Linked DNA regions of Macaca fascicularis. The protein of the gene in region 1 purifies or fractionates together with the protein of each later gene. This does not show direct contact. Links are inferred from orthologs where the notes say so. Each region holds a gene or a part of one and is shown on either strand. Other genes may lie near its edges. The genes, in order: AATF, NGDN, NOL10 and NAT10.

The links.
Region 2: the proteins of AATF (region 1) and NGDN purify together in Homo sapiens (affinity purification with mass spectrometry; 3 studies listed by BioGRID and IntAct, with this or other methods). This does not show direct contact. The link is inferred for Macaca fascicularis from reciprocal best matches to the Homo sapiens genes AATF and NGDN.
Region 3: the proteins of AATF (region 1) and NOL10 purify together in Homo sapiens (affinity purification with mass spectrometry; 4 studies listed by BioGRID and IntAct, counting the BioPlex papers as one, with this or other methods). This does not show direct contact. The link is inferred for Macaca fascicularis from reciprocal best matches to the Homo sapiens genes AATF and NOL10.
Region 4: the proteins of AATF (region 1) and NAT10 purify together in Homo sapiens (affinity purification with mass spectrometry; 3 studies listed by BioGRID and IntAct, with this or other methods). This does not show direct contact. The link is inferred for Macaca fascicularis from reciprocal best matches to the Homo sapiens genes AATF and NAT10.

Annotation. Positions count from the first base shown.
Region 1 is NC_088390.1:44,011,910-44,015,475, forward strand, and holds part of AATF (protein AATF), read right to left. Parts: intron 3,397-3,566; coding exon 3,282-3,396; intron 1,167-3,281; coding exon 965-1,166; intron 447-964; coding exon 282-446; intron 1-281. UniProt on the Homo sapiens protein: Part of the small subunit (SSU) processome, first precursor of the small eukaryotic ribosomal subunit.
Region 2 is NC_088381.1:91,238,568-91,242,711, reverse strand, and holds the start of NGDN (neuroguidin), read right to left. Parts: upstream 2,834-4,144; 5' UTR 2,815-2,833; coding exon 2,803-2,814; intron 2,488-2,802; coding exon 2,428-2,487; intron 1,621-2,427; coding exon 1,549-1,620; intron 1-1,548. UniProt on the Homo sapiens protein: Part of the small subunit (SSU) processome, first precursor of the small eukaryotic ribosomal subunit.
Region 3 is NC_088387.1:111,424,713-111,428,278, reverse strand, and holds part of NOL10 (nucleolar protein 10), read right to left. Parts: intron 3,058-3,566; coding exon 2,972-3,057; intron 459-2,971; exon of another isoform or gene 365-458; intron 208-364; coding exon 129-207; intron 1-128.
Region 4 is NC_088388.1:31,438,721-31,442,286, reverse strand, and holds part of NAT10 (RNA cytidine acetyltransferase), read left to right. Parts: intron 1-778; coding exon 779-912; intron 913-1,112; coding exon 1,113-1,161; intron 1,162-3,566. UniProt on the Homo sapiens protein: RNA cytidine acetyltransferase that catalyzes the formation of N(4)-acetylcytidine (ac4C) modification on mRNAs, 18S rRNA and tRNAs.

The DNA.
Region 1 (3,566 bases):
CTGAATTTTGAAAATTGGACTATGAATGCTTCCACTACCAGACTCCTGCATCAAACTCGAAATTAAGAGAAGATGACACACAGGAGCTAATAGAAGCCCCATTCTTAAAAACTCTCTCCTCTCACATATACTCAAGGTTCTCTCAGTAATCCAGTAAAGTAGTGTTGCTTTCCTTTCTCTCACTAACCTCTTATACAAACAGGTAATAGCTACAAGTTTTTCAGCTAATTAGCCTCATAAAAGCTATTCCCCATAATCATTCTGCATCACAGAGTTCTTACCGGTTCCCCTGGCAAACTCTCTGGGACAGGCTGAGCTGCTGCCTCAGGTTTGCCAAGAACTCGATAGACAGAGCGCTTGGTCTGTGTCCTTCGAAGTAATCTCTCCTTGTCCATCAGAATATGATCGATTTGAGTCAAAATTGAGCGTTCAAAGGCACCAAAACCCTGCAACAACATTAAGTAGCGTCAGATAATGCAGAAAATCAGTGCTGAAGGCAGCTACATTGGTTTCTCTATCTTTCTGTGTCAGCAGAGAGACAGACAATCATTTTTTCAGGAGAGACTTTCTGTAAAGGACTGAGTTTGTGAGTGGCTATAATTGTTCTTTAAAAAAAAAAGTCTTAAGCAGGTCATATCATTTTTCTACACTCGGAGATTAACTTCTGATACTTTAATAATTATTGCTTTGAAATCCACTCCTTTAAAGTATTTGTATTTTCAGCACTTGAACACTTACGAGGCCTGAATTTTAAGAATAAAACATTCTTTCTAATAAAGTTAAAATCCCAAGTCTGAATCGTATAAACCCCAGTGCCAGAAGTTCAGTAGATTTTGCTACAGAAATGAATGATTACCATTACATCATGACAACATCCATATAAATGAGCTGTAGTTCCAATTTCTTAAAACTTCAGGTTTCCACAACCTATCTTACACATACACGCATGCATACACACACTTGCCTTCCCCAGTTTTCCAGAAGCCAGTTTGGTTTTATCGTGCCATTTCTGAAGTGTGCGGTTCCTGTAGACTGTAAAGTCAGCAAAGCGCTTTGCCATGAAGCTGGGATAGTCCTCCATCTCCAGCTTCCTCTTTGCAGGGACCCTTCTTCGTTGCTGCGTCTTCTCTTCTACTAGCTCATCGTCTTCACTAGAAATCTCCTCACTAGAAAACCAGTAAGAATACTACGTCCAGTGTAAACAAACATTACTTAAATTTTAAAAAGTAGGCTCACATAAAGGACAGAGAATTTTTTTTTTAATTTATTTATTATTATTATACTTTAAGTTGTAGGGTACATGTGCCTAATGTGCAGGTTTGTTACGTATGTATACTTGTGCCATATTGGTGTGCCGCACCCATCAACTCGTCATTTACATCAGGTATAACTCCCAATGCAATCCCTCCCCGCTCCCCCCTCCCCATGATAGGCCCCTGTGTGTGATGTTCCCCTCCCTGAGTCCAAGTGATCTCATTGTTCAGTTCCCACCTATGAGTGAGAACATGCGGTGTTTGGTTTTCTGTTCTTGTGATAGTTTGCTAAGAATGATGGTTTCCAGCTGCATCCATGAAGGACAGAGAATATTTAGGCCTTACCTGTTCTGTCTCCATTTGAAATAACACCAAGGATATGAGGATGGCTTTTGTTCTTTGAGAAATATTCATGAGATCAATCAAAAACCTGTGTAGCTTTTTTTTTTTGAGACAGTCTTGCTCTGTTACCCAGGCTGGAGTGCAGTGGCACGACCTTGGCTCACTACAACCTCCACTTCTGGGTTCAAGCAATTCTCATGCCTCAGCCTCATGGGTAGCTGGGATTACAGGTGTGTGCAACCATGCCCGACTAATTTTTTTTTGTATTTTTAGTAAAGATGGGGTTTCACTATGTTGGCCAAGCTGGTTTCAAACTCCTGGCCTCCAGTGATCCACCAGTCTCGGCCTCCCAAAGTGCTGGGAATACAGGCATGAGCCACCATGCCCAGCCTCATGTAACTTTTAAAATGAATATAAAAAGAACTAGTTTCAAAATATTTTTTAAAAGGTAAGCAAACCGTCAAAATAAATGAGGTTTTAAAAGAATTACTAGAAATGTGTATGAACCAGGCCTGTAGTATTATAGGACAGTCTTTAAAAATTAAACATACAATCATATTTCTACAACTTTAATCCCCAAATCAATAAGGGAAATGTATCTCTCTGTAACCAACTGTTAAGGAAAGATGAATAATATTAGTTGAATCAAATACAAGAGAAGCTGAACGTGAAGACAACTCAAAGCGGTAGGCAACAGAATTAGCGCTAACTTGCAGTACCATCTATGCAACTGCCATGGCAATGTAATACAACCTCCAACTATCTGCCAATTGCACTCACTGGATTACTGACCCCCATAGGTGCTCAACAAATGTGAGCTTCTTTTTTGTCCTCCCAACTAGTTCAGTAGATAAAAAATGAAACAAAAGACAAGCTCGAGGGAAAAAAAAGCAAGCAGGTATATACAGCAGGTGTAAATAAAAAGGGGAAAATCTTCATCAAATGTAATAATTTCAGGGGGAAAAAATAATTATTTTGCTGTTTTCTGAAATTTTTCCATCTTTCACAATAACAGTTTTTATTCAAAGGAGATGGCTGTGACCAGTGACTGGAATATATGGTATGGGCACAGAATGTTTCATAAACCAACATTAATTAAGCATTAATATTTTAAAAATGTGCTTTTGGCCAAGTGAAGTGGCTCATGCTTATAATCCCAGCACTTTAGGAAGCTGAGGTAGAAGGATGGCTTGAGCCCAGGAGTTTGAGACCAGATAAGGAAACACAGCAAGACCCTGTCTCTACAAAAAAAAAAAAAAAAAAAGCCAGGCATGGTGGCAAGCGCCTGCAGTCTCAGCTATTTGGGAGGCTGAAGCAGGAGGACTGCTTGAGCCCAGGAGTTTGAGGCTGCAGTGAGCTGTGATCATGTCCCTGCACTCCAGCCTGGATGACAGCGTAAGATCCCATCTCTAAAAAAGAAAGTGCTTTTATCTTCTAATTCCAATAGATCTAAAGAGAAGGCAAGTCTTTTGTCTAAGACCACAAAGCACATCAGGTACAACTAAATATAAAAATCTAAAATCTAATCACCAACTTACATGCCATCCTGACCACCAGTGAAATATGAGACTCTATTTTACTAACATTAATATCTGCCTGAAGAGAACTTGGCTTTCTCCTTCATAAATGATGGGAAACTATCCAAATGAAAAGAAAATAAGCAACTCCATGGTTCTGTTCTCTTACCTTCCCGCATTGGGCTTTGTCCCATCTACTAGATATCTAGTGTCTGGGTACTGGAAAAGCAACTCTTCCTGAAGATCTACCAATGACCTCAACAATGCTTTAAGTGCCTTGTGACCTAGGAAATAAAAGACAGAGAAAGGACAATTAATTATCTACAATTTTCCTAAGTAGGTGATGCCTATAATTCATGACTCCTGAGCAATTCTGGCTGCGGAGAGTGAAGGGGAGGTGCAGGATACACACAGAAACTAAATACTCTCTGAAATATTCCCAAATGGAAATAAC
Region 2 (4,144 bases), on another chromosome or scaffold:
GATGGAACCTTGCTCTGTCACCCAGGCTGGAGTGCAGTGGCGTGATCTTGGCTCACTGCAACCTCTAACTCCTGAGTTCAAGCGATTCTCCTGCCTCAGCCTCCCAAGTAACTGGGATTACAGACAGGCACATGCCCCCATGCCTGGCTAATTTTTGTATTTTTAGTGAAGATGGGGTTTTGCCATGTTGGCCAGGCTGGTCTCGAACTCCTGACCTCAGATGATCTATCCGCCACAATCTCCTAAAGTGCTGGAATTATAGGTGTGAGCCACCTTTTTTTCTTAGCCAGGCCCTTTTTTTTTTTTTTTTTTAAAGACAGTCTCACTCTGTTGCCCAGGCTGGAGTGCGCTGGTGCAACTGTGGCTGATGGCAGCCTCGACCTCCTGGGCTCAAGCGATCCATTCACCTCAGCCTCCCGAGTAGCTGGGACTATGGGCACACGCCACTGCACCCAGCTAATTTTTTATTTTTTTGTAGAGACAGGTCTCACCACGTTGCTCAGGCTGGTCTCAAACCCATGGGCTCAAGCAATCCTCCCACTTTGGCCCCCCGAAGTGCTGCGATTACAGGCGCATATTTCAATTTTAAGATGCACATTGTTTTCATATTTTAACATCTCTGAAATCAGGATGCATGTTTCAGTCACTGGCATCTTGGTATTATGTCATGAGGAATTTTTTTTTTTTTTTTTTTTTTTTTTTGAGACAGGGTCTTGCTCTGTCACCCAGGCTGAATGCAGTGGCACAACCACAGCTCACTGCAGCCTCAACCTCCCAGGCTCAAGCAATCCTCTGGCCTCAGCATCCCGAGTGGCTGGGACTACAGGCACATGCCAGCATGTATGGCTAATTTTTAACTTTTGTAGAGACAGGGTCTCACTGTGTTACCCAGGTTGGTCCCAAGCTCCTGAGCTCAAGCAATCCTCCAGCCTCAGCCTCCTGAAGTGCTGGAATTACAGGCATGAGCCACCAGGCCCAGCCTGTTACATTTTTTCTTAATATACACAATAAGTGATATGTCCCAATTAATAAGTGTCTTAGATTAGATGAAATCTGAGAGTAACTCCTCATCTGGCCTACAATGATCTTCAGAGTGACTACTTTTCCAGTCTTATTTCCTACCCCCACCACACATAACACAGAAAGTATATCCTATCACAAAAACGGCTTTCTCCTTTCCCATAATATCACATACTTTCAGGCCTTTGTGCATTTGCACATGTTCCTTCTTTCTGTCCCTCCTGTTTATTCCTCAAAATCCTATCACCTCCTCTGGGAAGCCTGTCCTGAATCCCTCTGCTCTTCTGGCAGTTAATTAATCCCTCTCTTTGGCTGGAGACTCCTCATAACTCTGTAATGTGATTGCTACTATTAATACTTACGTCTATTGCTTTGCTTTGTCTTCCCACTAGACTTCAGCACAGAAACTGAATCGTATTTATGTTTGAAGCTCGAGCACTTAGGATATATAAGACACAATAAACATACAATGAAATAACTACTGAGAACGTTAAGTCAGGGGATGCTTACTGTTTGTGTACATCTTACCTTTTCTGTAGGATAGGCACCAGCTTGAACTTTTTGTGTCAGTGATTGCACTTGTGCCGTTATAGCCATCACCTGAAATTAGCCCAAATGAAACAACGGACTAGACTATATCAAATCATGTCTGCAAACTGTGAAGAGCAAAAGCTAAACAATGCCACCTAAAAATCATCTGAAACACTGTCTAAAGTATAGTACTATCTTCTCACTTCTGGGAAAGTATAGGAGAGATGGTCCTTCAAAAAGTAAAAAAAACAAAAACTTTCCATTTCTTAAAGAAGAGACCATCTTTTACTGAACCATAGGGAGGAGAAAAGGACTGGGACAGTAGTGACTGGAGGACTGTAATTTTGTTTGTACTGGCTGAACTTACAATACATAAAACTACAAAACTCCCCGACTTATGTCTTAATTTCCACTTTACAAGGGTGCAAAAGCAATATGCATTCGGTAGAAACCGTCCTGTTCTCTCGTGATGCTGGGCAGCGGCATCAAGCCAAAATTTTGACTTATGAGATTTTCGTATTACAATGGGTTTATCAGGCCATAACCTCCATCGTTAAGTCAAGAAGCCTCTGTATTTAAGTGTGTATTACCTGGGCACCCAACGGGCAAATCATGTTACCATTCCAAGCACTGGTTTCCTTAGCTGTATGAATAAGGGAAAACTATTCAGATAATTTCCTTTTTGGCGTTTCTTGTATTCCCTTGGGTGCAGAATCAATTACTTAGAACTCTGGCCTGGAAAGGTTTTCATTACATCACTTTACTCTTACGGTTTTTGGGAGCATTCATGTATCTCAATCACCAAAGTTTTGAGGTGAAGTACATAAAGTCAAGGCCAATCCATGACTAATTTATTCCAGAGGCGACACTACTCACTTGCTCCTGGAGATTTTTCAGAAGTGTCACGGCACTTGGCAGGTCTGACTCCAGCACCCCCTACAGAAGGGAGAGGAGGAGTAAAGAAAAGTCATTCTTTCCTCAGGATTATAAGAAGGCGGAACGTCTAGGTTGGGAAACTGCCCTCTCTCCGTCTGACACCCCAGACTCGGGGCCTTCACACTCCTCTTCACAGACTCGCCCTAAAGCCAGCCCCTTGAGTTACTGGACAGGAACAGTAACTCTAGGGAGGCCGCCTCCCTGAAGCAACTTTCATCACCACCCTTCCCTGGTACCAACAGTTTGCCTCCAGCCGCTGAAGGGAAAGGAAAACTCCACAATAGCTACGAGAGGAAGAAACCACATCAAACTCACCGGCGCCGCCATCTTCGCAAAGCCCACCCCTTCCGGTTCCGTACTTCCTGAGCGCTAAGGGCGTCTTGCTAGATTTGATAGACAACTGCCGCTTGCAAACCTAAGCCAATACGAATAAGGCCTTTCTCACTTCCGCCCTCAACGGGATAAACGAGAGGAGGAGTCTGATCTGGCCAATGGAATAAAGGAACTGGCTAAATTCGTCAGACTCAGCGATGTCAGGACCAAAAAAAAAAAAAAGCACTTGGCAAAGAGCGTGTGATTGGTAGACTGAGTAAAATGATTGACGGCAAGCCAATAAGAGATAGGCAAATAGTTGATTGACAGTTGGAAGGACCAATAGAAAAAAGGAATTAGCAGCGCGAACTTAGCGCTTATTGGCTCCCGTCCGCCGCAGAACCCAGAGTCTTTTTTCACGGCACTTTTCTTGTAGTGCCTGAACAGGCCGCTAGGTGACGGGCCTCGGCTTCGCTTTGCGGTGTCGACGTTGCGGAGCCGCCATTGCTGGCTGCTCATCCAACGGCCACCGCGCCAAATTCCTCACAGACCCGGTGGCCCTGGAATCGATTCTGTAACAATACTCCTTGTGTGACCGTGGACAAGTCACTCGGTCTCTGAGCTTTCTTCATCTGTAAATAAGAGAGCGGGGCCAGAGAAGCCCAGAGCCAGAGTAGAAACTGACTGCGAGGACACCTACTCTCTTGATGTGCACCGTGGGGCGCTGAGAAACGGCCCCGACACTCTTCGCTCCTACCAGTTGGGGACATGAAAAGAATGTTTTACAAGTTGGGGAACCGTTCATATTTACATGACTTACCCCGGTCACCCAGGTCTTCAGCAGCAGAACTTGGTTCAGACTCGAGCAGTGCATGTTTCAATATGACCTGCCTCATCATTACCCAATGCTTTCAGATGTGTTCACTCACTCTGGTTTTTCACAGGCTGGTGAAGTAGATTGGACGGATATTCATTGTTCCCATCACATGCCTTAGGAAATAAAGCACTGAAAGGGTGAATGATAGTGTATAATTTTTGTTCACAACCGTCTAGCAGAGCTGGGTCTAGAAATCAGATCTTCCTGACTTGAAGCTGCTTTTGGAATTAAGAATAACACCCGTATCTGGGCAGCTGGGGTGAGGAAATCCTGGTATCTAGGTCTTGCTGGAATCAAGAAAGCAGGAGGGCGTTCAGTCCCCACTCCTCTGACATTTATTTGCTGCTTCAGGCCTAGTGTGGAAGCTCAGGATGCTGTTGCAGCATACTTAGTCAATTATCCAGTAGCTTTTGTAATGTTTTATCAAGATTTGTATTATGAAAAGTTTCTGTTTCTACATAAATTTTC
Region 3 (3,566 bases), on another chromosome or scaffold:
CATACCCCCTGCTCTGGCTAAAATAGTATGGCCTCGTTTTGTGTTCCTATAGTATATTTCTCATGACACATACACACACCACTGAAATAAAAACTTAGATGTGAAGTTTCCAAATTAAACATATTTACCTGCCCTGTGGATGTTCCAACTGCCATGGTCAAGGGACCATTAAATTTCAAAGCAGAGATTGTTGGTAAATTGTTTATCCTGAAAAGCAAAATATTCATGCTTCATGAATATATGGCCAAACCTCCTTCCAAGTAACAAGTTCATTATTAATCTTCACTTCAAATCTAATGGAGGAAAATCACATTTCTAGCCTTCTGTTTAAAAGGTAACTGCAGCCTGGTAAGATGACTCACACCTGTAATCCCAGCATTTTGGGAGGCTGAGGTGGGAAGATTTCTTGAGGCCAGGAATTCAAGACCAGCCTGGGCGACACAGTGAGACACCATCTCTACAAAAAAAAAATAAAATAAAAAAAAAAAAAAAGCCAGTTGTGGTGACGCACACCTGTTGTCCCAGCTGTTTGGGTAGCTGAGGCAAGAGACTGCTTGAGCCTGGGAGGTCGAGGCTGCAGTGAGCTGTTATTATTCCACTGTGCTCCAACTGGGACAACAGAGCAAGACCCTATCTCAAAAATAATAAGCAAATGGTAATTGTATTCAAACTTTCATAATCAAAATAAAATTACACTTTATATACAAAATGTAATCTACTTCTTTCTTCCATTTTAATTAAGCCAGAATAAGGTATTTACAGAAACATCCCCTTTTATATTTAAGAAGAAATAATTTTGTTTGGATATGGGTACACCATTTCCACTTTAAAATTAGCCAAGCTCAGCTAAAACAAAAGACTAATCCTCAAATGGGGACCCCAGAGCCTCTGAAAGTACCAAAGACAGAGTGAATGCTATGGCCACAACTCTAGAATATGCTTCTCAAATACCAATCAAGCCAATCAGCAGCAAAAGCAATGATCTCCAGTGGAAAGAGTGCTAGGCGATGAGTCAGATGTGGACAATATTGCTATCAATCCCATCGTCCACATGCCCTTGGCCCAGGACCTAGAGTCCTGGCTGTCGGCTCTTGTCATCATCAGATCTCTTCTGCCACCTAGAGCTTGAGCCTGTAACTGCACTGGGGCACCTACGGGAACCTTGAAGCCTCTTATCTACAGCAACTTTAGTCACTCGCTCTTCAAAGTACACTCAATCATTTCTTTCAGTACAGTGATAGATTTCTCTACTTATTCTTTTATCATTTTCTTCATATGCATTTTTTTGGAGACAGGGTTTCACTCCTGTTGCCCAGATTGGAGTGCAGTGGCATGATCTCAACTCACTGCAACCTCCACCTTCCGGTTCAAGCAATTCTCCTGCTTCAGCCTCCCAAGCAGCTGGGACTACAGGTGTGCGACACCACTCAAAGCTGATTTTTGTATTTTTTTTGTAGAGATGGGTTTTCACCATGTTGCCCAGGCTGGTATTGAACTCCTGACCTCAAGTGATCCACCCGCCTTGGCCTCCCAAACTGCTGGGATTACAGGTGTCAGCCACCGCACCTGGCCCATATATGTTATCGAGTTTTACAATTTTTGTTGCTATAAGAATGTTTTCCCATTTATAACCTTTCTAGACGGATAGTGCTAATAAATAACAAGGTCACTGATTTTTGCACATTTTATAACCAATTTATTTAACTGTTATATTAGTTCTTATAGATTTTCAGTTATTCTCCTGAGTTTCCCAGGCACAGAAACTTATGTCATCTGGAAATGGCAGCCTGCTTCCCCTATCTTATTACCTTCTCATATTGTGTTGGTTCCACCTAGAACTGACAGCTTCTAAGGTTTGTAGGTAAAACAAAAACAAAAAAACTAAGCATTAAAAAAAATAAAATAAAATTACCTAAAATCGAATCAGAAAAAAAACCCTAGTTTTAACATTCTGGTATACACCCAGGCTTCTTCCTGTGATTATGCTTGTGTTCACTGTTTTTCTGGTAACAAGGTGGCAACACTCTATAGGCAACGGTATGGTTTGCTTTTCCACTCACAGGCACATTTGGACCACCCTTCCCCAGTAACAAATATGCTTCTGCAACATAATTCTTAAAGGCTGAATAACAGGTATGCCATTGATGAGTCTTTTGTTCATCTGTAAAATAAGTATAATAACAGTGCCTATAGCAAAGGGCTGTCATATTAAATAAGTTAATATATGTAAAGAACTTAGACCCAGTACCTGGCAAATAGAAAGCACTATCTGTTAGCTATTATTTCTGCTAAGCTTCATTTAATCAATATCTGCAGGTTCTTTCTAAGACTTATTGTTGGCAGGGCTGTGATGGACTGTCCAGGCTGAGGAGAGTGAGCAAATGCATGCTCTGGGCACATGGGCAGACATTTAACTTGAGCTTATGTTTTCTGTAGGGCAATTTAGCAATGTACCAAAAACCTTCAAAACATGTATGCTATTTACTCCAGAAATTCAGGTTCTAGGTATCTTTTCTTAGGAAATATCATAAAACTGTAAATGGATGTATAATAGTGAAAACTCTTCTGGTTGTTTTAAATGTAGGAATTAGGGAAACAGGAACAAGAAAATATTAAAAAAACACTTGCTTCCTTCCACCTTAGAATTCAAAGCACACCTCTGTGGAGTTTGTGGTGGACTCCCAGTTCTATCACTAGATCCTACAAAATCAGAATATAAATTCCTGCAGTGTAATTGTTTTAATAAAATTCTACAGCAACTGAAGAAACAAGACCTTCTGTACAGTGTTTGGAAAGAAATTCTATCTGGCTTACTCACTAGTGAGCTTTCACAGGAGAGGACTTTTATGAAAAACAATCATGGAAAGTACAATTTCAGATACCCTTTAGCAATTTATTTGAATTTAATACAGATACATTACTGAAATCAAAAGTTGATGAAAACTGACATTGCAAATTAATTTCTACTTACTCTGAATCTGCTGTGACACTGTTTAAGGCGCAGTCTAACAGACCAACTCTATTTCGAGTTCTTGGGTCCCAGCACTCCACTCTACCCTACGCAAATGAAAAACAATTTAAAATAAAAGCTGTAGAAGGCCAGACACAGTGGCTCACGCTTGCAATCCCAGCACTTTGGGAGGCTGAGGCGGGCTGATCACCTGAGGCCATGAGTTCGAGACCCAGTCTGACTAACATGGCGAAACCCTGTTTCTACCAAAAATACAAAAAATTAGCCAGGTATGTGGCACACACCTGTAATCCCAGCAACTCGGGAGGCTGAGGCAGAAGAACTGCTTGAACCCAGGAGGCGGAGGTTGCAGAGAGCCGAGATTGCGCCACTGCACACCAGCCTGGGCAACAGAGTGAGACTGTCTCAAAAAAAAAAAAAAAAAGGCTGTAGAATAAAAATTAAATAAATAAAATCTGCTACTAGGAAATCCTTAAAACACATACAAAAATAAACCTAATTAACATTGTTTATTTCATAGAAAGTAAAAGTTTAACTGTTTACCTTATAACCTTTTTAGTACTGTTTAAGTGTTTTAACATGAGCTGAATTTCTT
Region 4 (3,566 bases), on another chromosome or scaffold:
AGGTTGAAGCTGCATTGAGCCGTGATCTTGCCACTGGACTCCAGCCTGGGTGACAGAGCCAGACCCTGTCTCAAGCAATGAAAAAAAAAAAGTTCAAGCTCAGAGGTTTGTCACTTCCCAAGGCTGTCAGGTGATAGAACCTGGACTTCATGCTGGATCATAGGAACCTGTCTGTCCCTTTGTAAATCTGTCGGGCATTTCTTTTTTCTTTTCTTTTTTTTTTCAAAGAGATGGAGTCTTACTCTGTCTCCCAGGCTGGAGTGCAATGGCATGATTTCAGCTCACTGCAACCTCTGCCTCCCAGGTTCAAGCAGTTGTCCTGCCTCAGCCTTCTGAGTAACTGGGACTACAAGCACACACCACTACGTCTGGCTAATTTTTGTATTTTTAGTAGAGATGGGGTTTTGCCATGTTGGCTAGGCCAGTCTCGAACTCCTGACCTCAGGTGAGCCGCCTGCCTCGGTCTCCCAAAGTGCTGGGATTACAGGCATGAGCCACCACTCCCAGCGTCTGTCAGTCATTCCTAAACTCTGTGGCTGTCTTCCTGCATTCTGGAGGTCCAGAGCAGTGTGACTCCATGCATGTTGAGGTATTTTGTGTACGTGGGAATGATTGCTTGACTGTGGTGTTCCCATAGTTTGACAACCACAGCAACAAACCAAGAAACCTCTCCCAGTTTTTGTTGTGCTAAGTCCAGAGTGAGCTGTGGCAGGGTTGCTTGACAATGTCTCTCTCCCTGTGTCGAGTGGACTGTGTTCTCTCCTTGGCATCTTCACAGGCTGTCAGCTTGCTGGAAGAGGTCATCACTCCCCGGAAGGACCTGCCTCCTTTACTCCTCAAATTGAATGAGAGGCCCGCTGAGCGCCTGGATTACCTGGGTGTTTCCTATGGCTTGACCCCCAGGCTCCTCAAGTAAGTGCCTGCCCTCCTTCCTCAGCATCACTCCTTGGCATTGAGAAAGAAGAGTTCTGTGGGCTGTGTGTCTGTTGGTAGCTGGTGCCTGTGCTAGCCTGCTGTTCGTGGCCTGCTCTCCTGGTGCTTGCCCTTGTGTGTCTGTCAGCCGCTCCCCAGAGACCACACACACAGTACCTACTGTCTTTGTATCTTTGCAGGTTCTGGAAACGAGCTGGATTTGTTCCTGTTTATCTGAGACAGACCCCGGTGAGTGAGGCATCCAGCAGAGGAGAGGTTTAGGTTTGCCGTTGTGGTAGGTGACAGGCCTGTCCTTGCAAAGAGCCCTAGTGCATCCCTGCTGTGTCGCTCTGAGCAGGTGGCTGTGCCTCTGAAGAGGTTTATTCTGATGGACACGGAAACAGCCATCCTCAGGGACGAGCCATGTCATCACACATTTCTTCCCCGACTACATGGTGCATGCCTTGTGCTTAGTCATAAAATGGCAGAGGTGCACGTGGACTTGTTCATCAGATTCTGAGGAAGGAGAGTGGACAGGAGGATCAAGGGTAATTCCTAGAGTTTTGGCTTGAGAAACTGGGTGTTGGAGGTGCTGTCGGAGGTGGGACTCACTGCAGAAGGAGCAGATTTGGAGGGAAGAGTGGGAGTTCTTTTTTGACATTAATGTGAGATGCCTATTGGACATCCAAGTGGAAATGTGGACTAGGCATTTATTTGACTACAGTAATATGGAGGTAGGGAAGTTTGGGGCTAGAGATGGAGCTTTGGGAGCCATCAGCATATTCATAATAAAATGCACTGCACGAGGGCACGGAGCTCTTGTCTGTTTTGTTCCTTGCTGTATTCTTTGCACTTAGAGTAGCAATTGCTGTGTAGTATGTGTTCAGTAAATGCTTTTGTTGAGTGAAAGAAAAATATCTGGAGCCAGTGAAAGGACATGAGGGTGACTCCTTGGACCCTAACATTTAGAGGAATGAGGAGGAGGACACAGCACATACAGGACTGAGAAGGAACAGCCCTGATGCGCAGGAGAAAGTCGGGGTATGTCCACGTCGAGGTGAAGAAGTGGGAATGGGAGTCAGCCCTGTAGAGAGGATGAGGAGGATGAGGACAGCTGGCCATTGGATTCATCAGCAGCAGTGAGCTGCATTGAAGCAGCGGCAGTGGAGTGGAGGCTTTGGCCTGGCCAGAGGGAAGAGGAGGTGAAGAACTAGAAGGGGAACAGGCGACTCTTTCAGGAAGCGAAAGGGAGCAGAGAAACAAGGTCGCTGGAGGGAAATGGAAGCTAAAGGGGGATTGTAGAGAATGTTTGTTTGCTGCTGGGTTCGATTCTGCAAGTAGTGGTATAGGTGAGGGGGGCTGACTGCCAGAGTGCAGGCCTTGAGGAAGTGGTGGGTGGGACTCGAGACTCAGGAAGGGAGGTGACCACCTACTTCATCCTTCGGACCCAGGGAAGGCAGAGAGCATGGGAATGGAAGGCATCAGTTGGCTGGCTGATTTGGGGATGGGAGGATGATGACGTTCTCTTCTGAGTGCTTCTGTCTTCCCAGATGAGGGGAGTCCATCGGCTGAGAGGGAAGTGTTGGAGGTTTAGGGCAAAGCCAGTATCCGAGGCTAGTGTCCAGTGTCCGTCCGAGGATTTAAAGTGGGACTGGTGAGGACCGCTGGGTGTTGGGCTGCTTCCGTGCAGGCAGGGAGCCGCAGAGATGGGCTGGTTCTCTGTCGGTGCGTTTGGTGGAGGCTGGGGATGTAAATTCGGCCATCAGCTGCAAGGAGAATGCAGGCTAGTGAGCTGCCGTGTGGTCTGTGGTGTGTCCATGTGGTCTTGTACTGTGCGCTGTTCATTTGTGACTTGATAGTGGTGTTTTTATGGTATGGGCTTTGTTGTTATGTAGTAGAAAATGTAAAAACAGTCGCAATTGGGAGGCCGAGGTGGGCGGATCACGAGGTCAGGAGATCGAGACCATCCTGGCTAACACGGTGAAACCCCGTCTCTACTAAAAATACAAAAAGAAATTAGCCGGGCGTGGTGGCGGGCGCCTGTAGTCCCAGCTACTCTGGAGGCTGAGGCAGGAGAATGGCGTGAACCCGGGAGGCGGAGCTTGCAGTGAGCCGATATCGCGCCACTGCACTCCAGCCTGGGCGACAGAGCAAGACTCTGTCTCAAAAAAAAAAAAAAAAAAAAAAAAAAACAGTCGCAATTTTAGCACCTAAAGAAGCCTGCACTTGCAGACTGGCTGCCAGCACTGAGATATAGGTTTTGTCCCTGGAGTTCCTGCTGTGAGGCACCAAACCCATGTAGACTGGATTGTGTGGAGCTTAAGCCCTAATGACTGAGTTCAGCATCCACCTGAGAGGAACAGGTATTTCCCTCCCGCAGGTCCCGAGCAAGAGGCAGGCCTGGAAGAGTGAGCACCTCTGCTCTGTGTCTGTGACGCTTTTGAGGAGATTGCAGGACAGTGATCTTTACAGCCCTTGCATGTGAACTGAGGTGATATGAGGAAGGTGAAGGCGAGGGCTGTGTTTGAGAAGGGTGCCTCTCCCAGCCCAGGTAGAAGGAGAGGCCTGCGGAAGCACCAAGCCTTTCTTCTCTGAGTGTTTACCCTTCATCAATGATGGGTTGTTCAAAAAACGGGGTTCTTGGTGCCAGTTGA